Linked DNA regions of Arabidopsis thaliana. The protein of the gene in region 1 purifies or fractionates together with the protein of each later gene. This does not show direct contact. Each region holds a gene or a part of one and is shown in the gene's direction. Other genes may lie near its edges. The genes, in order: AT5G36210, LIN2, IMD1 and IMD3.

What was found.
Region 2: the proteins of AT5G36210 (region 1) and LIN2 fractionate together in Arabidopsis thaliana (co-fractionation; one large-scale study listed by BioGRID). This does not show direct contact.
Region 3: the proteins of AT5G36210 (region 1) and IMD1 fractionate together in Arabidopsis thaliana (co-fractionation; one large-scale study listed by BioGRID). This does not show direct contact.
Region 4: the proteins of AT5G36210 (region 1) and IMD3 fractionate together in Arabidopsis thaliana (co-fractionation; one large-scale study listed by BioGRID). This does not show direct contact.

What each region holds. Positions count from the first base shown.
Region 1 is NC_003076.8:14,247,034-14,255,207, reverse strand, and holds AT5G36210 (alpha/beta-Hydrolases superfamily protein), read left to right. Parts: upstream 1-1,773; 5' UTR 1,774-1,935; coding exon 1,936-2,273; intron 2,274-2,348; coding exon 2,349-2,527; intron 2,528-2,617; coding exon 2,618-2,722; intron 2,723-2,819; coding exon 2,820-2,891; intron 2,892-3,059; coding exon 3,060-3,207; intron 3,208-3,278; coding exon 3,279-3,361; intron 3,362-3,925; coding exon 3,926-3,981; intron 3,982-4,509; coding exon 4,510-4,646; intron 4,647-4,724; coding exon 4,725-4,815; intron 4,816-4,908; coding exon 4,909-4,974; intron 4,975-5,066; coding exon 5,067-5,289; intron 5,290-5,470; coding exon 5,471-5,572; intron 5,573-5,778; coding exon 5,779-5,864; intron 5,865-5,936; coding exon 5,937-6,059; intron 6,060-6,240; coding exon 6,241-6,310; intron 6,311-6,397; coding exon 6,398-6,489; intron 6,490-6,699; coding exon 6,700-6,804; intron 6,805-6,889; coding exon 6,890-7,006; 3' UTR 7,007-7,729; downstream 7,730-8,174. Other genes in the region: CYP81D1 (cytochrome p450 81d1), read left to right, coding at 286-674, 776-1,381.
Region 2 is NC_003070.9:868,281-873,160, reverse strand, and holds LIN2 (Coproporphyrinogen III oxidase), read left to right. Parts: upstream 1-1,852; 5' UTR 1,853-1,985; coding exon 1,986-2,510; intron 2,511-2,589; coding exon 2,590-2,665; intron 2,666-2,753; coding exon 2,754-2,848; intron 2,849-2,933; coding exon 2,934-3,017; intron 3,018-3,198; coding exon 3,199-3,286; intron 3,287-3,378; coding exon 3,379-3,503; intron 3,504-3,608; coding exon 3,609-3,707; intron 3,708-3,790; coding exon 3,791-3,859; 3' UTR 3,860-4,308; downstream 4,309-4,880. Other genes in the region: NAC006 (NAC domain containing protein 6), read right to left, coding at 255-421, 479-716, 768-869, 949-1,287. UniProt on the Arabidopsis thaliana protein: Key enzyme in heme biosynthesis. Catalyzes the oxidative decarboxylation of propionic acid side chains of rings A and B of coproporphyrinogen III.
Region 3 is NC_003076.8:4,574,434-4,579,159, forward strand, and holds IMD1 (isopropylmalate dehydrogenase 1), read left to right. Parts: upstream 1-1,689; 5' UTR 1,690-1,786; coding exon 1,787-2,015; intron 2,016-2,102; coding exon 2,103-2,232; intron 2,233-2,312; coding exon 2,313-2,424; intron 2,425-2,508; coding exon 2,509-2,673; intron 2,674-2,750; coding exon 2,751-2,837; intron 2,838-2,915; coding exon 2,916-3,032; coding exon of another isoform or gene 3,033-3,034; intron 3,035-3,121; coding exon 3,122-3,229; intron 3,230-3,310; coding exon 3,311-3,517; coding exon of another isoform or gene 3,518-3,529; exon of another isoform or gene 3,530-3,603; coding exon 3,604-3,678; 3' UTR 3,679-3,969; downstream 3,970-4,726. Other genes in the region: AT5G14210 (Leucine-rich repeat protein kinase family protein), read right to left, coding at 4,070-4,294, 4,392-4,503, 4,581-4,606, 4,711-4,726. UniProt on the Arabidopsis thaliana protein: Involved in both glucosinolate and leucine biosynthesis; catalyzes the oxidative decarboxylation step in both leucine biosynthesis (primary metabolism) and methionine chain elongation of glucosinolates (specialized metabolism).
Region 4 is NC_003070.9:11,141,691-11,146,466, reverse strand, and holds IMD3 (isopropylmalate dehydrogenase 3), read left to right. Parts: upstream 1-1,749; 5' UTR 1,750-1,804; coding exon 1,805-2,199; intron 2,200-2,268; coding exon 2,269-2,380; intron 2,381-2,451; coding exon 2,452-2,616; intron 2,617-2,690; coding exon 2,691-2,777; intron 2,778-2,856; coding exon 2,857-2,973; intron 2,974-3,069; coding exon 3,070-3,177; intron 3,178-3,261; coding exon 3,262-3,468; intron 3,469-3,555; coding exon 3,556-3,624; 3' UTR 3,625-4,006; downstream 4,007-4,776. Other genes in the region: IMPL1 (myo-inositol monophosphatase like 1), read right to left, coding at 44-256, 349-401, 467-524, 625-713, 812-945, 1,056-1,123, 1,307-1,606.

The sequences.
Region 1 (8,174 bases):
TGTGTTTTTTTCATCGTCGTGAAGTTTGTTGATAAAGACTAGTCAACTTTTCAATTTTTTTTGGTGTTATTTAAGTGCTAATTATATTGACCACTGAGTCTTTGTGGGCGTCAATCGTACCATGAAGATTTCTTAAAACTCTTTTACTTTTAGAACGTTTTACGTCAATATTTTTAGAATAGAGATTTCTAAAAACATTTTACAAAGTAATGAAGAAAAGCTCGACTACTCTATTTTTGGTTCTCGTTTGGTTCTCGATTTTCCTTTTTCTTTTAATAATTGCAGGAACCAAAAAAACTGTTGTGGAATTGAAACCAATGCTTATGGACTTGACATTCAACAACATAATGAGAATGATGACCGGAAAACGATACTACGGTGAAGAAACAACCGATGAGGAAGAAGCAAAGCGTGTCCGTAAGTTGGTAGCAGATGTTGGGGCTAACACGAGTTCAGGCAACGCCGTTGACTACGTCCCCATCCTCAGACTGTTTTCAAGTTATGAAAATAGGGTTAAAAAGTTAGGAGAGGAGACAGATAAGTTTTTACAAGGTCTCATTGACGATAAACGTGGGCAACAAGAAACCGGTACTACAATGATCGATCATTTGCTTGTCCTCCAAAAATCTGATATTGAGTATTACACTGATCAAATCATCAAAGGCATCATACTGGTTTATTTCTTCTTCCTTTATTTTTTCTATTAATTATTAGATCTTTTGTTAACTTTGATTATAAGTAAGATAAATTGTCTGATGTTATTATGTTAATGCAGATAATGGTAATAGCAGGGACTAACACATCAGCAGTCACTCTAGAATGGGCACTTTCCAATTTGCTTAACCATCCTGACGTAATATCTAAAGCGAGAGACGAAATCGATAACCGGGTTGGTTTAGACCGGCTTATCGAAGAAGCAGATCTTAGCGAGCTACCATATCTAAAGAACATTGTCCTTGAGACCCTTAGGCTACACCCAGCTACACCATTGCTAGTCCCACACATGGCATCAGAAGATTGCAAGATAGGATCCTACGATATGCCACGTGGTACAACGTTGTTGGTGAATGCATGGGCCATACATAGGGATCCAAACACGTGGGATGATCCGGATAGCTTTAAACCAGAGCGGTTTGAGAAAGAAGAGGAAGCACAAAAGCTTCTGGCGTTTGGATTAGGTAGAAGAGCGTGTCCTGGATCGGGTCTGGCCCAACGAATCGTGGGACTAGCTCTCGGGTCATTGATACAATGCTTTGAATGGGAGAGAGTTGGGAATGTGGAAGTGGATATGAAGGAAGGAGTTGGGAATACTGTACCCAAAGCGATTCCTTTGAAAGCTATTTGCAAAGCTCGTCCATTTCTACATAAGATTATTTCCTAAAATTGTTGAAACTACGAATAAAAGATGTGTGACATGTTAATGCAAATCAATGATTCTCTCTACATGTAAAATCTTGATGGATTATTATGGCTATCTTAATTATTTTTAATAAGTGTTACTAGCAGATTTATAGAAAAGCAATCGAGTATTATAAGAAAAGTAAACGGCTTCTAGAGGGACTATGACCGTTTAGGCCAAGGAAGTTTGAGGCAATAACAGGTCTGTGATGTCCTTAAATGTTCTGAGTCACACGCGCGCTACACTAATGTATTCAACGAGTTCACACTTTGGCCGACAGACCCGGGTAACTTTTGAAATTTCATCGTAATGAGGATAGATCATTGTAATTGTTGGTTTCCAACGAGGAATTCTTAGTAAGCGCGAGTCATCAGCTCGTGTTGACTACGTCCATGCCCTTTGTACAAACAGTCCGTTGCTCCTACCGATTGAATGATCTGGTGAAGTGTTCGGATCGCGGCCACTTGGATGACCCAAAAAAACATATAATTCAAAAACCTATAGCGAAAACAAGCAAAGAGTGGATGAGTAAATAAATGGCATTGTTGTTGTTGACCTCACTCAATCACCTAGTCTCATTCTCACTCACTCGCTTGCCTTCTTCTTCCGCTCACAATCTCTTCCTTTCTCGTTCCTTCTCTTCTTCGATCAGACGATTCAATCGCTTCTCACTCAAACCACTTCGCTCCTTCGCATCCATGTCTTCTTCTTCCCCCGACGCTGCTCAGACTCCTCTAACCACCGCTCCTTATGGCTCCTGGAAATCTCCAATCACCGCCGACATCGTTTCCGGAGCTTCAAAGCGTCTTGGCGGCACCGCCGTCGATTCTCATGGCCGTCTCGTCTTGCTCGAGTCTCGCCCTAACGAATCCGGGTATTACTTCTTCTTCTTTTGATTGATTTTGAAAATGAAAACCCTAATTTGATTGCGAGCTTGATATGATTGAAGGAGAGGAGTTTTGGTGCTACAAGGAGAAACATCAATTGATATTACTCCAAAAGACTTCGCTGTGAGAACTTTAACACAAGAATACGGTGGTGGTGCTTTCCAGATTTCATCAGATGATACACTTGTGTTCTCTAATTACAAGGATCAGCGATTGTACAAGCAAGACATTACTGATAAAGGTGATAGATAACCTCTTCACTGATTCTAGCTATGTAAATTTCTTGTTGGCAAGTTCTGATGTTGTTTGTTTTGATGGTTGATGTGTGTAGATTCATCTCCAAAGCCAATTACTCCAGATTATGGTACACCAGCTGTTACTTATGCAGATGGAGTCTTTGATTCACGCTTTAACCGTTATGTTACTGTTAGGGAAGGTTGGTTTGTCTCTAGTGTTTAGTATTGGTGACTCTCTTGATGTTTGATTGTGTTTTTATCGAGATTTACATGTTATTGTTTGACTGGTGTTTATAGATGGTCGCCAGGATAGATCAAACCCAATTACAACAATCGTGGAGGTTAATCTAAGTGGAGAGACACTTGAAGGTAGATTATCAAACTTTAGTGAAAGAAGTATTCTTACTCCCATTGAAAGAGTCTATAGGGGATGTGAGTTATGTCAGTAGTGCCATGTAGTACATGTTTCTAAGTTTCCAACTTATTACAGCTGATCATTGACACTCATATGTGTTCTTTCTGATATTTGAGATCCAGAACCAAAAGTACTCGTAAGTGGCAATGATTTCTATGCATTTCCACGGTTGGATCCCAAGTGTGAGCGATTGGCATGGATTGAATGGAGTCACCCTAATATGCCATGGGATAAAGCAGAGCTGTGGGTTGGGTACATTTCCGAGGGCGGGTAAGCATTTGCAATTTTTTTCAAATGCTTTGCATATTGCAAATATTAATCAAAGTTACACCCTTCTGCAGAAATATTGATAAGCGCGTATGTGTTGCTGGTTGTGATCCCAAATACGTCGAATCACCCACTGAGCCGAAGTGGTCATCAAGAGGTATTTGTCTTAAATGAAAAATATGCAGAAAATTACAAGGATTGTGAAATCCTCTGGGAAAAGATTGATTTGCAGTTCTTAGACACTGACCTTGGATTTCTGACTTTCTATTTGTTTCATACTTTTAGCAGTTGAGCTTTTCTTATAAGTTTTTTCTGTTTTGGATGAAACTAGGGTCTTCTCCATAAAATGATATTCTTTTTCTCTCTGCTCTCTTGTTGTTTCCGCTCTTTGCATTCATCTTTCTTCTTCTAACCAAGTGACAAGGACTGTGAATTTTACTGAGAAAAAGGTTGATCTACAAATTCCTTGCATATGCTTCTTATCTTTATAATTTTTAGCTATTAAAAACTCCTTGGCTGAAACTAGAGTCTTTTAATGGATGTCATCATGATAGTTCTCTGATATGAACCTTCACGTATCATTCTCCAAACCATTAGATGTTTTACTGGAGCTCTAAAATTGGTGAATAAATTATATTTTTTCATATTGTAATTAAGCCTGTCAAGCTTTAGTATTTCTCATAGGTTCCATTGACCTGAGACTCTCTGACTTATCGTGCAGGGGAACTCTTTTTTGTAACTGACAGAAAGAATGGATGTTGGAATATTCATAAATGGGTAAACATTCTTCACATTTGCCAATTATAGCCACATTTGGTAAATTCCATAGTGTGCTTTTGCTCTATAATGCTGAGAATTAGTTTTAGATTTGAAATAGGGATAGTAGTTTTTTAGTCACTTATGAAAGCATAGAGGAAACATTTTTTCTTGGCTTTTTACGAACTTCACTAGACAGATTTTAAAATTCAAACCTTTGTTCTCGGAGAAGATTGTAGTCTCATTCTTTCAAAATTATCTATAAAAAAAAAGCCACATAATGTTTGAGTTTTGTTACATTAGACACATACTGTTTGAGTTTTGTTTTTGGCTTACCATATACATCCCAAATGGTAGCTGTTTGTTTTGTTAGTTGTATTAATTGCTAAGTTCTTAGAACTCTTGGGTAGAGACTGATATGTGGCCACCAACTTGAAGCTTTTCTTAAATCTACTTGGTGCACAAAGAAATTCCCAATGTAGGACACATGTTTACTGTTGACTACCTTGTTCCTTATTTAATTTTTTCCTCTTTCTCGATGTGTCACAGATTGAGAGTACCAATGAGGTTGTTTCTGTATATCCTCTCGACGGTGAGTTTGCGAAACCACTATGGATTTTCGGTACTAACTCCTACGAGATAATCGAGTGTTCTGAAGAGAAGAACCTAATTGCATGCAGCTATAGGTAATACCAAAATTCAAATACTTTCAACCATTTTCTGATTTACCTGTTTTGATAACAATTTATTGTTCCTGAATGCAGGCAGAAAGGGAAGTCATATCTAGGCATTGTAGATGATTCACAGGGATCATGTTCTCTGCTCGATATTCCTTTAACGGATTTTGACAGCATTGTAATATTTATTTTTCTGTAGTTTTTGCAAAACCATTTCAATTGATTCCCAATTGAATCTGAAAGTAATGAGAAATTGTGCTTCCATTTTCAGACATTGGGAAATCAGTGCCTTTATGTTGAGGGAGCATCAGCAGTTCTTCCACCATCAGTTGCCAGGGTAAAAATGATTCCTATTTAAGGTTTTAGCTGAGCACAAGTTGTCTAATATAAAAGTAGTAGCAGTAGATTTATAATTTCCCCTATCAACAGGTAACACTGGATCAGCATAAGACGAAAGCACTCAGTTCTGAGATTGTTTGGTCGTCGTCACCCGATGTTTTGAAGTACAAGGCTTACTTCAGCGTGCCAGAGTTGATTGAATTTCCAACAGAGGTTCCTGGTCAGAACGCTTATGCATACTTTTATCCTCCAACCAATCCGCTCTACAATGCTAGCATGGAAGAGAAACCTCCGTTGTTAGTGAAGAGTCATGGTATGTTAAACTTACGACATCCCGATTTTTCAAAACTTAATCAAAATAATTCCTCAGTTTCAGTCTTGTTCATCTTAAGATCATGTTTTCGTTTCAAGTATGTACTTTAGCTGTAACATAAATATTGCAATCAGCTATGCATGGCACATCGATCATTTTTGTTGACAATCTGAATCTACAGGAGGACCTACTGCTGAATCACGTGGATCCTTAAATCTGAATATCCAATACTGGACAAGTCGAGGTTGGGCATTTGTTGATGTCAATTATGGTGGAAGCACAGGTTTGTTCTTATGGTTCCAAGTTGTTTCTTCTACTTTACCTACAAGTTCCCATAATTCGCTACAGTTGTACGGTTGCATCTTTTCATCTTTATAGTTAGTCTTGCTAAAGTATTTCGTCTTGAGATTTCTTGGTTACGATGTCCCATTCTCACCATGTGGGCACACACGTGGGTTTATTGTGACAAAGTGTAACATTATTTTGAAGGTTATGGTCGAGAGTATCGAGAGCGGTTGTTAAGGCAGTGGGGAATAGTCGACGTTGATGACTGTTGTGGCTGTGCTAAATACTTGGTATGTTCTTTCTTCGCCTATTTTATGTGAACGACTTTGAAAGCATTTCCTAAACTTTTTTGGTTTGGGCAGGTATCTTCTGGCAAGGCAGATGTTAAGCGGCTCTGTATATCTGGCGGTTCTGCAGGAGGTTACACAACTCTTGCATCATTGGCGTTCAGGGATGTTTTCAAAGCTGGAGCGTCCTTATACGGAGTGAGTACAGAATCATTGCATCAGTGAAAAACATTTAGCTAAATGAATTCTAGCCTTATCTTTATATATTGTGATACTATTTCACAATCCACCGAATTCTCTTCAAATGCATGATGCAGGATGAATACCTTATAAACAACTGATAATTCATAGAAGTTTGGATTGGCTTTTCTTAACGCAGGTGGCTGATTTAAAAATGTTGAAAGAAGAAGGTCATAAATTTGAATCCCGTTATATCGACAATCTTGTTGGTGAGTCAAATGCATTGAAGAAAGCATTTATCTTTGCTTTTTGTTTTTGTAAATCGGTTACCAAAATTCTTGAGTATGTAATTGCAGGAGATGAAAAAGATTTCTATGAGAGATCACCAATCAATTTCGTCGATAAGTTCTCTTGTCCCATCATCCTTTTCCAAGGACTAGAAGACAAGGTTCTTATATTTTCCGCTCTTGGTTTATTCTTTTGTTTTGTTGGCAGTTCTTGAATGCATCTAGTAACAGAAGTCTTAACTAGATTTATCATATTCTGGATTCTTGATAGTTTTTAAATTCGAGATTTGGTTATCCATTTGCGAAGACAATGTCTTTCACTTCTATACGAAATTCTTAACGATTGGTTTAAAATGCTGAAAAAATTGCAGGTTGTAACTCCAGATCAATCACGTAAAATCTATGAAGCATTAAAGAAAAAAGGTCTGCCTGTTGCTCTTGTCGAGTACGAAGGAGAACAACACGGTTTTCGCAAGGTAAGGCTTTTGATCACTTGCATTAATAATAACAAGTCATAAGGATTAACAGTGGATTACTTTACTTATATACATTGATTAACAGGCGGAAAACATCAAATACACACTTGAGCAACAGATGGTGTTCTTTGCCCGAGTGGTTGGAGGGTTCAAAGTTGCTGATGACATCACTCCTTTGAAAATTGACAACTTCGACACTTAGAAAACGATGCTTAAATAGATATGTTTGGAAAAGATTTGCTTTTTTTTTATTATTTAGAGAAAATACATGCTTGGACTAACGTTTTCGGATAATTTGTTCATCAAAAGTCCAAAACCTTCTATATTCACTAGAATGGGAATGCCTAGGAGGTGGCTCGGCAAATAACCACAGTGTTAAGGTCAATGTTGGTTTGGGCCAATGTTGCTTAACGTATGTCTTTTCAGCTTTAGTCATTATCATCGAAATGGTTGATGAAGCTGTCAGTGATATGATATCGGTAGTTGGTATTACAAATACGATATCAGTATGGGCCTTGTCTTCTTCGATGCACCATTCAGGACAAATCGTTAAGTCTTTGATCCTTGTTTGCTGCTAATTGCTCTCCAATACTTCGCCACAGGTTTACTACCGTTGAAGCAACAAAGTACTCCAAAATTGTATTCTTGCATGTAGTTGTAAGGGGTGATTGGCTACTGACTTTCAAGACTTTAAAAGTAGGCTGAAGTCTTTTTTTTTTGCCAATTAGGCTTTTTCTACTTAATTTTTTTTGTAAGTTCTCAAAGTCTTTTTTATTTTTTCTTCTTTATTCTCTTTCTTTTTTAAAGCCTCATAAACTAGATTTTCAATTTTTCTTATTTTTTCTCCTAATAAATTATTAAAAGTTTTTTTTAATCTTCTCCCCAAAACAATTAAAACTTCTCTACAAGTTTACATGTACTTTTTCACAAAATACTTTTAATAAATTAATTATTATCAATTTTCTACCTTTTTTCTAAGATCCATTTCACTAATAATTATTTTATTTTTCATCATTACCATTAATTGAGTGTAAAAAAGTTATAGAATTAGTATTTTTTCTTGGTGCACAAAACAAAAACAAATTCGTATTTTAAAATAATATATACATTTCTCATATGTCATTCAATTATTTTATTAATTGCTTCATTATTATCCTATTTACTAATGTGTTTGGATATTAAATTTTGGTATGAAACAATAAATATTAATAAATATGTTTATTTAGAAAAAAAAATTCTAAACATTTGTCATTTATTTTAAATAAAGATTTTATTAATTAATAATTTTATTTTTAAAGACTAACTTTTAAATGCAATGTTTGGTTATTAAAAAATAAATGAACAATATATGTTTAGTTTATTTCTTCAGA
Region 2 (4,880 bases), on another chromosome or scaffold:
AATTGAAATTCATAGCTAAATAGTTAACATTACTGCTGCAACTCTATATTAATTGTAGAGTTATGGAAAAACAAAAGTACAAACTAAAATAAAGTTCGTTAAACTAGAATTTTACCCCGGAAAATCCACTATTTTTATGATATCTCCTTTACCGGAGTTACACAAATACACTAACCATATGTCTATAGTAATCTTTGTCACATATCAACTCAACCCACTAAAATATAATTCTATCCTCTCTGGTTTGTGTCGTATCATTTATCAACCCTAGTTAGATCAATAATCTCATAATTCCCCAATGCGAGGGCATCATTAGGATTGTTTATCAGTACCATCACATCATCTTTTTCTTGCTCTTGAGTAACGTCACAATCTTCTTGACGTTGTTGTTGTTGTTGTTGTTGTTGTTGTTGTTGAGTAACTTCGCGAGATTATTCTCCATCTAGCATCATCGTCTCAAGGTCATCATTAGCAAAACCGGTTAATTCAGCCTCTTCTGGCTGCTCACGATCTTCATGTCCCTCTAGCATCGTCTCAAGGCTATCAGCAAAACCGGTTAAATCAGCATCTTCTGGCTGCTCATGATCTTCTTGTCCCTCTAGCATCGTCTCAAGGCTATCAGCAAAACCGGTTAAATCAGCCTCTTCTTTCTGCTCACGGTCTTCTTGTCCCTCTAGCATCATCTCAAGCTGATCAGCAAAACCGGTTAAAGCATCCTCTTCTTACACTACTTGGTTCCGTAAGATGTTGTTGGTGTTCTCCGCCACCTGAGTCTGATGAGCCTGATGGTTAACGAGTCCAAACTCGTTGACGTTCGCCTCTTTCTTGTATCGGATCCGACACAAGACAACCTTTTGGAGGTCATCACTCTAGTGAAGAGAATACTCCATCTTCTGTCAATCGGTCTTGACAAGCTTTCCATGCACTCTCCTGTGGTACGTGAAAGACTGCTCGTAACCCATCACCCTTTTGCATGTGTCCGTCCTTGATCTCTTTTTTCCCATCGTTGCTTCTCCAAGTGCCGCCTTCGCTTCCTCCTCTTGCGGCTACCTTCCGGTGTACGCTTAATATCTTGCCACCTCGTTCAGTAAGCGGAACAAAGTAGTACCACTCGTTGTTATTGAACAAAGGATTGTTTACGTGAGGAAGAAGCCAAGGGTAGTCTTGGTGGATGTCCATAGTTGTTATGAAACTGCTCTGATTTCTCTCCACCTTGTTTCGAAGATAAAGCCTCACCAACCCTAGATCCGTCGGACAAAACCGTGATCCAACCGGAAGAATCTTCATATCGATCGTATAGATTCGAAGAAGAACTAGCTAAGGTACCTATATAATTGCTAAGGTTAAAAGTGCTCTTTCGTCTCTTGTGTAATACTGCTCTGTGAAGCAGGGTTTTCTTGAATTCCTCGCAGGTCAAGCGGCTGAACTCTCTATATGATCATGAATATATAGACAACGTGATGGGCCCAACCGGATTTTCTTTTGTCAGCGATTAACTATTTTTTGGAAAGAATAAGACGGTTGTAATTACATCTATTTGGTTATTTGAAATAATAATTAGATAGGATTCGAATCTATAATACACTTTTGTTTTGTTTATCACAGATTCTAACGATAGATAAAGATATATTACATGACCATGATTTATCCACATCAAAATAGCATAGTGCCGTAAACCGGCTAATCGTTTTGGGCCTAATTTGGGCAATTAAGCCCGTTAAGAAGGATAAGAGCCTATTGTGTATCAATATCTTCGGTTCGACCAAATTAAACCGCAATTTTAATTTCGTGTCTGGTTTGGTTTCGGCTAAATAATTCAGAAGTGGTTTAGTCTGAGAAGACTGGAACTGTGTTTTCTTTTACCTTGAGCTGTTAAATAAAAAGGAAGAGCGGTCAAAATCAGTGGACGACGAAGACTTCTTATCATTTAATATCTCTCCATCATCATCTTCTTCTTCAGCATCAAATCCAAATTCGGATCAAACATGGCTTCTCACTCGTCGACTCTCCTCTCTTCTCCTACTTTCGCTCCTTTCTCCTCTCATCGTCTTCATTATTCTCCCAATCCCTCTACTCTCAGATTCTCCCGTCCAATCAGAAATAAACCTAATCTCGCCTTGCGATGTTCAGTCTCAATTGAGAAAGAAGTTCCCGAAACTGAACGACCCTTTACTTTCCTTAGGGATTCTGATGACGTCACTCCATCTTCTTCTTCTTCTTCCGTCAGGGCTCGTTTCGAGACTATGATTAGGGCTGCTCAAGACAGTGTTTGTGATGCAATTGAAGCTATAGAAGGCGGTCCTAAGTTTAAAGAAGATGTTTGGTCTCGACCTGGTGGTGGCGGTGGAATCAGTCGTGTGTTGCAGGACGGGAATGTCTTTGAGAAAGCTGGTGTTAATGTCTCTGTGGTTTATGGTGTTATGCCTCCTGAAGCTTATAGAGCTGCAAAGGGCTCAGCTTCTGATCAGAAACCTGGTCCTGTTCCGTTCTTCGCTGCTGGAGTCAGCTCGGTAATGAATCTCTCCCTTCAATTTTACGATTCTTGGAGGTTCTCATGTTTTATCATTACGGATTTCTGTGTGATTCTAGGTTTTGCATCCCAAGAACCCTTTTGCCCCAACCCTGCATTTCAATTATCGCTATTTCGAGACAGATGCTCCAAAGGGTAAAAAAGCTAAAGTCTCAGTGAGATTGTAAAGTTGTTGTCTTTTGTTTGGACAACAGTCTTAAGTTTTTAATTTTCAACGGCGCAGATGTTCCTGGAGCTCCAAGGCAATGGTGGTTTGGTGGTGGCACTGATTTCACTCCTGCTTACATCTTTGAAGAAGATGTCAAGCATTTCCATTCGGTACTGAGCCTTATTCCTTGTTCTAAAGATATGAGCTTTGTGATCATGGAGTTGCTTTTATATAAACTGCTCTTTGTTGTTGTAGATTCAAAAGCAAGCCTGTGACAAATTTGACCCTTCCTTCTATCCCCGATTCAAGAAGTGGTGTGATGACTACTTTTACATCAAGGTAAGTTTTGTGAGATCCTGAAGCATTTTCTGGAACTGAGGGCCTTATTCTTTGAGTTGTGTTTAGGGATGTTATAGTCAAATCTGAGAGGGTAGAAACTGCTTAGAGAGACGTTCAGAAGCCTATTGTTAGTGTGAGGGCTTTGAAAACTTTTCTTAGAAATCTTTGATTTTGCTTGCAGCACCGTGATGAGAGACGAGGACTTGGAGGGATATTTTTTGATGATCTTAATGACTATGATCAGGAAATGCTTCTGTCATTTGCCACTGGTAAGGGACTGATTGTCCTCAATCTACAACAAACGATTTATTTTAATTGGTCTAGTTTCTTGGTAGACTAATTTAGCAATTGGTGTTTACAGAATGCGCAAACTCAGTGGTGCCGGCTTATATACCTATAGTAGAGAAAAGGAAAGACATGGAATTTACAGAGCAGCACAAGGCATGGCAACAGTTGCGACGAGGGCGATATGTCGAATTCAACTTGGTACTATGACCAAAACATTAGTCTTTTTCTCTGTTCTCACTCTCATCTCTCCAATCTTTCGTTATGAACCTTGTTCACTAATGTATTTGTAATGATGGATGGAAGGTATATGATCGGGGAACGACATTTGGTCTGAAGACAGGAGGACGAATAGAGAGCATTCTCGTCTCTCTTCCGCTTTCAGCAAGATGGGAATATGACCATGTAAGTTCTTTCCTCATTTGTGAAGAAACTTGGTCTAAATTCAATTGAATATGGCAATGTAGTAATGGTGTTTGTGAGTGCAGAAACCGGAAGAGGGGACCGAAGAGTGGAAGCTATTGGATGCTTGCATCAACCCGAAGGAGTGGATCTAGCCTGTGTTTCCCATTGTTGTGAGAAGAGTGAGTTTATTTCCATTGTTTCATGTAAGTTTTGAGCAGCTTTAGAGGATTAGATAACTGGAGAGATGGAGAAAGAGAGTGTGTAAGGTCAGGTCAAAATCTAGTCTTGTGATGTGCATGTTAACATCATCTCCTTTCTCTCTTTGCGATGGCAATGAAGACAAACTAAGAGCAGTGTTGTTAAAAGTCAAAACTTACCAATGCAAACAGTTGGTTTCTTGCAAGTTTTGAGCAGCTTTAGAGGATTAGATTACTGAAAAGAAAGTTATACTCTAGCCTTGTGATGTGCATGTTAACATGCGTCTGTTACGCTGTCGTTTCGTTTCTTTCTTTTGCCAATGGCAACGAAGACAACTTGTGCATTCAACTTTTTCACAAGTGACATGCTTATCTACGGACTCTAATCCAAATCCATATCCTCCTTAAGAACCCAAAACAAAAACTTATTGCTCAAAGTGTTGAAATCTGAGCTTTTCCAAAGAGAAGAAACAGTGATCAGCCCAGCCTAATGTAAGCCATTAGGCCTCTTAGTATTTTTTTTTTTTTTTTTTTTTGTCATCAAGCCTCTTAGTGTTAGCTGTCATAATTTCCTTTTTTTTTCATCTCTCTCGTTATTACGCCCTGAATCATTTAATAATCCCCAAATAAAGCAATAAATTTCTATTTTTTGTTTGTTTGTACAGAATTCTATGCAAATCAGTGTATTTTTTTTATGTAGAAATAGTGCTTAACGCCTGTAAGTGTTAATCAATACTTTAATCTATAAATAGGGTACAAATTTAAAATTATTCAAAGACAATAACATCCTTAAAAAGAAAAAAAATAGATTCACTTGTCTTATTGTAAAAAGAGCTAATAATGAAACAAAGCCAAATGAAGAACTAAATATGAGGTTCATCAATTTTTTATATTTACTTTAATATTTTATTTTTCCCGACTACTTTAATGTTTTTTGTCTTATTCATTACACACTAATAAGCCATGGAAAGTTGCG
Region 3 (4,726 bases), 9.7 Mb from region 1:
TCACGTACGTTTATAGGAAAGTGAAAATGGTTTTATATAGAGAGAAGGGGTGACGGATAAGATAATAGAAAATGGAATTATTAGCTATTTATAAAAATGCAAAACCACGTTAGCAACTATGGATAGACAAAAACTTATTTAGAAAAAAAAACAATTTATGGTGTGTAAACATAAATTAAGAATTGAATCATGCACAAAAAATAAGACAAGCATTTATGAATAGTTTCTAGAAGTGGTGAATCATCCACTGCTATCGTCGATACAACATTTACTAAAGTTTCTATATATAAGTGGAGGGATGATCAGTGTGACCATGCCATGATTTCTAACTTTTTTGAGAGAGCGAGGTTATTATGATAAACATTTAAAATAATACGTGGAACTGAGATGAATGGAAAATAATCTTTATAAAAGAGAAAAAAAAAAATAGAAGATCTCATGATAATAAAAGTACTTCCATATGTTTTCAATGTGAAGAAAAGAATAGTAAAGGAGATACATCCAATAGCTTAGTCTAGAAAAGAGCTGACTAATTTTTTTTAAAAACAAGATCTCTGGTTTGTATATTTGTATCGATTACACAGCCTAGATATATAAAACACAAAACTTGATGGAGACAATTTCATATCCTATATATACACATTAATTTAATGAGTGAATAGTAATAGCAACTAGCAAGGCAATCTAAACAAAATTAAGAAAAGAAAAATGTTAAATTCCTGAGATCTATAATAACTCATAAGCAAAAAATATATTTAAAAAAATCATACAAATGTTGTAATAATATCATTTTGTTTTAATGTGGAGTGATAAAAAGAAGATAGGACGAAAGAAGAAACTGTTAAAGGCGATTGTAGATGCTGTAGGGACGGATAAATGGACTATGACATCAGTTTCCGTTACTTGTTTCTTCTCGAACTCAAAGAAGAAAGAAAAAAAAAAAAAAAATTCTACATCGGTACGCTTTCGTTTCACACCCTGCATGCACACAGTGTCCGGTAGTCAAAAATACAAAAAAAAGAAAAAAAACCTCGAGACATGCTAAATTTGGATAATGATTAATAATTTGGGGGTACACAATGTTCCAAATAATTTATATACAAAGTCTTGCTTTCATATTATTTGTGTGTCCACACTTCAACAATATAGTATTATACTATTATCCCTATCCCCTATGAAGTATGAACACACTTTTTATGATACGTATCATATTCAGAAAACATCAAAAATTGGTCATAACTCTCACGTGGTGTGGTGGATTTGCCTCGCCTTTCGTTTCTGTTTTTTGCAAATATTTAAGAATCTTTGGTCATTTAGGCTTTAATTTAGTTACTTTAAATTTATTTTTGTTATAGAAGTATTATGTTAAAAACAGTTCGTGTTCATCCTTGGACTAACCAGACGATTTGACAAAATCCGAATATCCGATCATAAAATTAAATAATCAGCCGTTATTGTTCCTCTACTACTACGTTTTAACTTTTAAGAACTTCTCCTGGTACTTTGATGGGCTATAAGAGCGGCCCAATATTTCGACTTTAAAATGGGCCAATCTTTGGTAAAGGCCCAATTATAGTGGCGCTTCTTCTTCTTCTTTTCCTAAACAAGCAATGGCATGGTTTAGCTGGTGAGCCAGTTTATAGGTAAAAAGGATAATTTAAGCCATTTAAAAAAACAAATCTTTAATGGCGTAATTCAAAAAACGTGCACACCTATCTAAGTACCAAACTCTTTATGTTATATAACTATTGTGACACAATTTCAAATTTGCTAACTCCCAAAAAAAATGGCGGCGTTTTTGCAAACGAACATCAGTCTGAATGCGATCAAGATCGTCCCGGGGAAATACAGTTCTCTCACCGATCATCAGTTTCGTGCGCCGTATCGAATTAGGTGCGCCGCCGCTTCACCTGGGAAAAAACGGTATAACATCGCTCTGCTTCCCGGAGACGGTATCGGTCCAGAAGTTATCTCTGTTGCTAAGAATGTGCTTCAGAAAGCTGGATCTCTCGAAGGTTCTTTCTCTTTCTCAATGGTTTTTGGAAACAACGAGTGTGTTTGCTTAGCCAGTAGATGATTGTGTCTTTGCTTTTGTATCACAGGACTGGAGTTTGATTTCAAGGAGATGCCTGTCGGAGGAGCAGCCTTGGATTTGGTTGGAGTTCCATTGCCGGAGGAAACTTTCACGGCTGCAAAACTATCTGATGCCATTCTTCTTGGAGCTATTGGAGGGTATGTGTGTGAGTGCTGTTTCTTTAGCAATCTGCTTCCAAATTTATTCTGATCTTGAGGTTTGGATGATTATTGTTCAGGTACAAATGGGACAAGAATGAGAAACATCTGAGACCTGAGATGGCTCTGTTTTACCTTAGAAGAGATCTCAAAGTCTTTGCTAATTTGAGACCTGCTACAGTTTTGCCACAGGTATCTTCGGTTTTGATTTGCTTAGCACTTGAATTTTGCTTCTAGTTGTAAATAAACTCAAATGTTTCTGTTTTGCTTGTTCAGCTAGTTGATGCTTCCACACTGAAGAAAGAAGTAGCAGAAGGTGTTGATATGATGATTGTTAGGGAGCTCACAGGAGGTATTTACTTTGGAGAGCCAAGAGGCATTACGATCAATGAAAATGGCGAAGAAGTCGGCGTTAGTACAGAGATCTACGCTGCTCACGAGGTAATAACCCTTCACACTGTGCTCTGTGACAATATTGGCAATGTATGGATATTAATGCATTGATTTATGTTCTTCAGATTGACAGAATTGCTCGTGTAGCATTCGAGACTGCTAGGAAAAGGCGTGGCAAACTTTGTTCTGTTGACAAAGCCAATGTGTTGGATGTACGTTCTGTTAGTTCACTGAATTGTTTTTCCACTTTTGTGTGTTTTACGAAATGCAAATTTCTTTGTTTCATGTAGGCATCAATATTGTGGAGGAAAAGAGTAACAGCTTTAGCCTCTGAATATCCAGATGTTGAACTATCACATATGTATGTCGATAATGCTGCAATGCAGCTTATTCGTGACCCGAAACAGGTGCTTCTCGCACATATATCAAACTTAGTCGTTGATTAAGCTAACTCAGAAGTGGAACTAGTACTCACGGTGTTTTTAAAACAATGCAGTTTGACACAATCGTTACCAATAACATTTTTGGTGATATATTGTCTGATGAAGCTTCAATGATCACTGGAAGCATTGGAATGCTTCCATCTGCTAGTCTCGGTGAATCGGTAAACAAAATTAACTAACATCTTTCAAGGCTCCTCCTGTTTATAAACTAATGCGAAATGTTAAACTTGTGATGAAATCAGGGACCTGGACTCTTTGAACCTATACATGGTTCAGCACCAGATATAGCTGGACAAGACAAGGCAAACCCATTGGCCACCATTCTCAGCGCGGCGATGCTTCTGAAGTATGGACTTGGAGAAGAAAAGGCTGCAAAGAGGATTGAAGACGCTGTCGTGGATGCTCTGAACAAAGGGTTCAGAACCGGAGACATCTACTCCCCTGGAAATGTATGTGCATGATGATTCTTATCATTTGTTTTGTACAAGTTCGTAACAAAATACTTAAAAAAGTCTTTTGTGTTTTGAAAATGCAGAAACTGGTGGGATGCAAGGAAATGGGTGAGGAGGTTCTCAAATCAGTGGAATCCAAAGTTCCAGCTACTGTTTAAGTTTATTGATGATTTGAAGCACTTGAAAAAGTTTGTGTAGCACTTGGTTTTACGGTCACTTATATGCTAATCCATGCAACATTGTACCTTTTATAATAAATAAATTATTTGGGATCGATTCTGCAATTCAAAGACAAGATTCTCCAAAAACATTTGACAGGTCTCCTGCCTTTACTTACCTTGTTCTTGAAGATTGAGAATTTCTCTTCAACTACAAGACTCAATATCTTCTTCAATCAATATTTGTTTAACGAAATAAGTTTCAAGAGAAGACAAGCTACTATGATTTTTAGTCTCAAGAGTCTTACATTTTTATACTGAAAACCAAACTTATAGAGCTTTACATTTAGAAAACCGAAAAAACTATCAATCATTAGGTTAGCCTTTGGATTCACGACGACGTATCAGATTTGCGTTCAGCGTCTGCGGCAGACTGCATTTGAGCTGCGTATTGTAAGTTCCAGAGAACATCTTCAAAGGAAGGTCTTGCGGAAGGTTCAAGCAAAACACATTTATTGGCGATTGAGATCGCAATCGATAAAGACTCCTGCGAGCTTGTTGTTAGGACTGTTGGACTTACTATTTTCTGCCGACCGTCTTGGCTCCCAAATGATGTCTGCAAACACAACATTGCAGCAACAGCTATTAACCAAATTTGTTTCAATCAAATAACAATGATGATGCTTTTTTTTTTTGCTTTTTCTCTTTGTTACCATTTCGTTGAGAAGAAAAGCCTCTCCTTTTGTAGTGGGCACTGGTCCTATCAGAGATTCCAGAAGTATGAATCCGAAGTTGTACACATCGTCCTCTCTTTTAGCCTTTTTCCTGCATAATCTCAAAGTTTGGATTAGATTCTCATAAATGCCATGGAGTTTTGCTATACAAGGACAAAAGATGCATACTTTGACTTGTGGGTTTCTGACTTTGTCTGCAAAATGTAGAAGCAGGAGTAAAGTAGAGTCCTGAGTTAGTGTCAAAGAAGATCATACAAAATGAAGATAAACACAGTGAAAGAGAGTAAATAGAGCAAACCTCAAGCTTTTCGTTC
Region 4 (4,776 bases), on another chromosome or scaffold:
ACTTTAGTAAGAAAAAAACAACAAGAAGGATGAAGAAGACTACAAGAACACCAGCAGCCATGTCCCATGGCTTTAAACGGTACTCCCAATATGATTCCGCAATCCCAAGTGCAACATGACACATGTCAACTGCAGCAGCACCGAGTCTTCGCACTCCCCGACTCACATCAGTAAACTCTTTGAACAGTTCCATGTTAGTGCTCCATGCATCATCATGTTCATAACCAAACCCTGTGATAAGAAGTGCTCTCTCCACCTTCATTCAAACCCGAATAAATATCTAATAAACCAAAACCATTGAACACACCATGTCGAAACTTAAAATTGGATTCTTGATAAGTTACTTACAGCATCGGTCTTACTGACATGAATTTTTTGCCCGTTACACAATGCTCCACCACCTAAGAAGTGAACTAGTTAGACAAAATTTAGATATATAGCCAAACATAAGCTTGTCACATAGTACCTGCAGTTGCAGAAAAGGTTCGAGTGTTCCAGCACATCGGACCACCGACAAACTCTACCTGCATGATGAGATTTTGTTGTTAATCCTACTGACCAAAGAATCAGCAAATAGGAACTAACAAGCATTAGCTGGTTTGTGCAAGTATATATTGGATTTACCACAGAAGCAGCGGCGGGATTTCCACGATACAGAACACCGACGGAAACAGCAAAACTGGGATATCCATGAGCAAAATTTGTAGTTCCATCTATGCATAAAGGAATTAAGAGACTAATACTAAAAATCTCAGAGATTCCACACAAACACATGAAAAGAAAGCAATGAGATTTGTAAAGAGAGCTAAACCTAGAGGATCAATGCACCAGAGGTAATCAGAAGACGAATCGCCGATGATACCTCCTTCTTCACCAAGAATAAGATGATCACTAAAATTCTTCTTCACTACTTCCAAAATAGCAGCCTCGCTTGCTTTATCAGTACTGCAAATTCATCAAAAGTACTAAAACTTTAATAGCTTCAACCAATCAAGTCAACATGAACATAGTTAAAACCTCAAGCTAACAATTTTAAAAGGTGAAGAAGTCCTTACTCAGTTACTAAGTCACTGAGACCTTTATAAGTAATATTCCTTGGCTTATTTACAGCTTCCATAACCACCTAACAAACCAGATGATTCAATTCAAGTTAGTTTTGTTATTATTCTCCTTGTGCAGTTGTGCCCTACGAACCCAAGAACTTGATTCTAGTACCATTGAACACAATTTCAAGTCTCATCAAGAGTTTTTGTTTCCAATAAACATAAATTCAGATATTGTATTCTACAGACATGAAATTTCGAACCTCAGCGCCGGTTTTAGCGGCGAGTTCAACGACTTCAAGGAGGTGTGCCGGAGATATAGTTCCGGTGGTTTTAGCGCCGATTCTGGGATATCGCGTCTGATCAGAAACCTCAGACAGAACAGCTTTGGTTTGAAGTCTCGTTGTGGACTTGAAGCTATTAGACAAAATCCTCGTACACCGATATCGGAAAGTTCTGTTCACTGTCCGGCCTGAAATTGGGTTTTGCAGCGGAAGAGATGATCTGGGTAAGTGAGAGATTCTCAATGACATGTTTCCAGAGAATATTAGAGACCTTCCCATTGTTGGTGTCGCCGGAGAATTTTCGAATTTTTGTTGTTGTTCGGTTTTTGGTTTATATGAACGCGGCCAAGTGAACGGATGGTGGACATGAGAGAGTCCAAAAAGCTGATAGAACTTAAAATTGAAATTAATGAGAACATTGAACCAAAATCAGGTTAACAAATAACCAGAGATAACCGGTCTCTGTAGTATACTCAAATGGTTAGTTTTTGCCGATGGTGGTGCCCTAAACTCGAAAAAAAGATGGCGGCGTTTTTGCAAACTAACATCCGTCTGGAGATCATACCGGGAAGATACAGTTCTCTCACCGATCATAAGTTTCGTGCGCCGTATCGAATTAGGTGCGCCGCCGCTTCACCGGTGAAAAAACGGTATAACATCACTCTGCTTCCCGGCGATGGTATCGGTCCAGAAGTTATATCTGTTGCTAAGAATGTGCTTCAGAAAGCTGGATTTCTCCAAGGACTAGAGTTTGATTTCCAGGAGATGCCTTTCGGCGGAGCAGCTTTGGATTTGGTCGGAGTTCCATTGCCGGAGGAAACTTCCACTGCTGCTAAACAGTCTGATGCCATTCTTCTTGGAGCTATCGGAGGGTATGTGTAATGCGTGTGTGTGTTGTTTCTTCAGCAAATTTATTCTCTTTATGATGATTTTTTGTTCAGGTACAAATGGGACAAGAATGAGAAACATCTGAGACCTGAGATGGGTCTGCTTAACATTCGAAGAGATCTCAATGTCTTTGCTAATTTGAGACCTGCTACAGTTTTACCACAGGTATTGATTTGCTTATCACTTTGCTTTCTAGTTGTAAATATACTCAAATTTTTCTGTTTTTGCTTGTTCAGCTAGTTGATGCTTCCACACTGAAGAAAGAAGTAGCACAAGGTGTTGATATGATGATTGTAAGGGAGCTCACTGGAGGTATTTACTTTGGAGAGCCAAGAGGCATTACGATCAACGAAAATGGCGAAGAAGTCGGTTTTAATACAGAGATCTACGCTGCTCACGAGGTACTACTTACTCTTCACAATCTGCTGCTCTGTGACAATGTATGTGTATTAATGCATTGCTTTATCTTCTTCAGATTGACAGAATTGCTCGTGTTGCATTCGAGACTGCTAGGAAAAGGCGTGGCAAGCTGTGTTCTGTTGACAAAGCCAATGTCTTGGATGTATGTTTTGAATTGTTTTTCCACTCCACTCTTGTGTGTTTTTCGTTATACAATTATTTTTTTGTTTTGTTTCGTATAGGCATCAATATTGTGGAGGAAAAGAGTAACAGCTTTAGCCTCTGAATATCCAGATGTTGAACTATCACATATGTATGTCGATAATGCTGCGATGCAGCTTGTCCGTGACCCGAAACAGGTGATCTTCGCGCATATATAAAGCTTAGCCGTTGATTAAGCTAACACAGAAGTGGAACTTGTAGTACTCACGGCATTTTTAAAAACATTATTGCAGTTTGACACAATCGTCACCAATAACATTTTTGGTGATATATTGTCTGATGAAGCTTCAATGATCACTGGTAGCATTGGGATGCTTCCATCTGCAAGTCTTGGTGAATCGGTAAGTAAGACTAAATCTAATATTTCAAGGTTCCTCTGTTTATTATTATCATATATTGATTGTTAAACTTGTGATGAAAACTAGGGACCTGGACTCTTTGAACCTATACATGGTTCAGCACCAGATATAGCTGGACAAGACAAGGCAAACCCATTGGCCACCATTCTCAGTGCGGCGATGCTTCTCAAGTATGGACTTGGAGAAGAAAAGGCTGCAAAGATGATTGAAGACGCGGTCGTGGATGCTCTGAACAAAGGTTTCAGAACCGGAGACATCTACTCCCCCGGAAATGTATGTGTATGATGATTTCTGTCTTTTGTTTTGTATAAGTTAATGACAATATACTTAAAGAAGTCTTTTTGTGTTTTGAAAATGCAGAAACTGGTGGGATGCAAGGAAATGGGTGAGGAGGTTCTCAAATCAGTGGACTCCAAAGTTCCTGTTTAAGAAAAGTGTGTAGCCCTTGGTTTTACTGTTACTTTTTTGCTAATACATGTATTAGAAACTGTATTCTTGTAGCTTTTATAATAATAAAATATTTGGGATCGATTCTGCAATTCAAAGACAAAATTCTCCAAGAACATTTGACAAGTCTCCTGCCTCAGTACCTTGTTCTTGAAGATTGAGAAGTTCTCGCCAACTACAAAACTCAACATCTTCTTCAATCAATATTTGTTAAACGAATAAAGTTTCAAGAGAGACAAGAAACTATGTTTTTTAGCCGCTAGAGTATTACATTTTTCTACTGAAAAACCAAACTTATAAAACATAACATTTATAAATCCGAAAACAACTATCAATCATCAGGTTAGCCTTTGGATTCACGACGACTTATCAGATTTGCGTTCAGCGTCTGCGGCAGACTGCATTTGAGCTGCATATGGTAAGTTCCAGAGAACATCTTTAAAGGAAGTCTTGCAGAAGGTTCAAGCAAAACACATTTATTGGCGATTGAGATGGCAATTGGGTAAAGACTCCTGCGAGCTTGTTGTTAGGACCGTTGGACTTCCTATTTTCTGTCGACAGTCTTGGCTCCCAAATGACGTCTGCAAATACAACATTGCAGCAACAGCTATTAACAATGATGAAGATTTGCTTCTTTTCTTTACCCTATATGATACCATTTCGTTGAGAAGATAGGCCTCTCCTTTTTGTAGTAGGTACTGGTCCTATCAGAGATTCCAGAAGTATGAATCCAAAGTTGTACACATCGCCCTCTGTTTTAGCCATTTTCCTGCATAATTCCAAAGCTAAGAAACGTGATGAATCGAAATCGTCTGTGGCTTCCTTTAACTCTTCAAAAGAAAATGACCGGAATGAGGGCACACCTTGTGCACCTAGCTTTGCTGCTTGAGAGATTAACCCTGCAAGACGAAGTCGTACAAGGATATTAAATTCCTGAAAGACAATTGCCACCAGGCGGAGGTCTACAATTTGAGTCAAAGTTACTCACTTGCACTAGCAAGAACTTCGGAGGAGAGACTGGTGTGTGAGTTATCTCTGTCACAACCTTAAGCCGAGTTTGAGGCACTGACCTTTCTCTTGAACAACAGCAAGAGCAGCGGTTTATACACACAAGAACAAATACATCTCCACCAA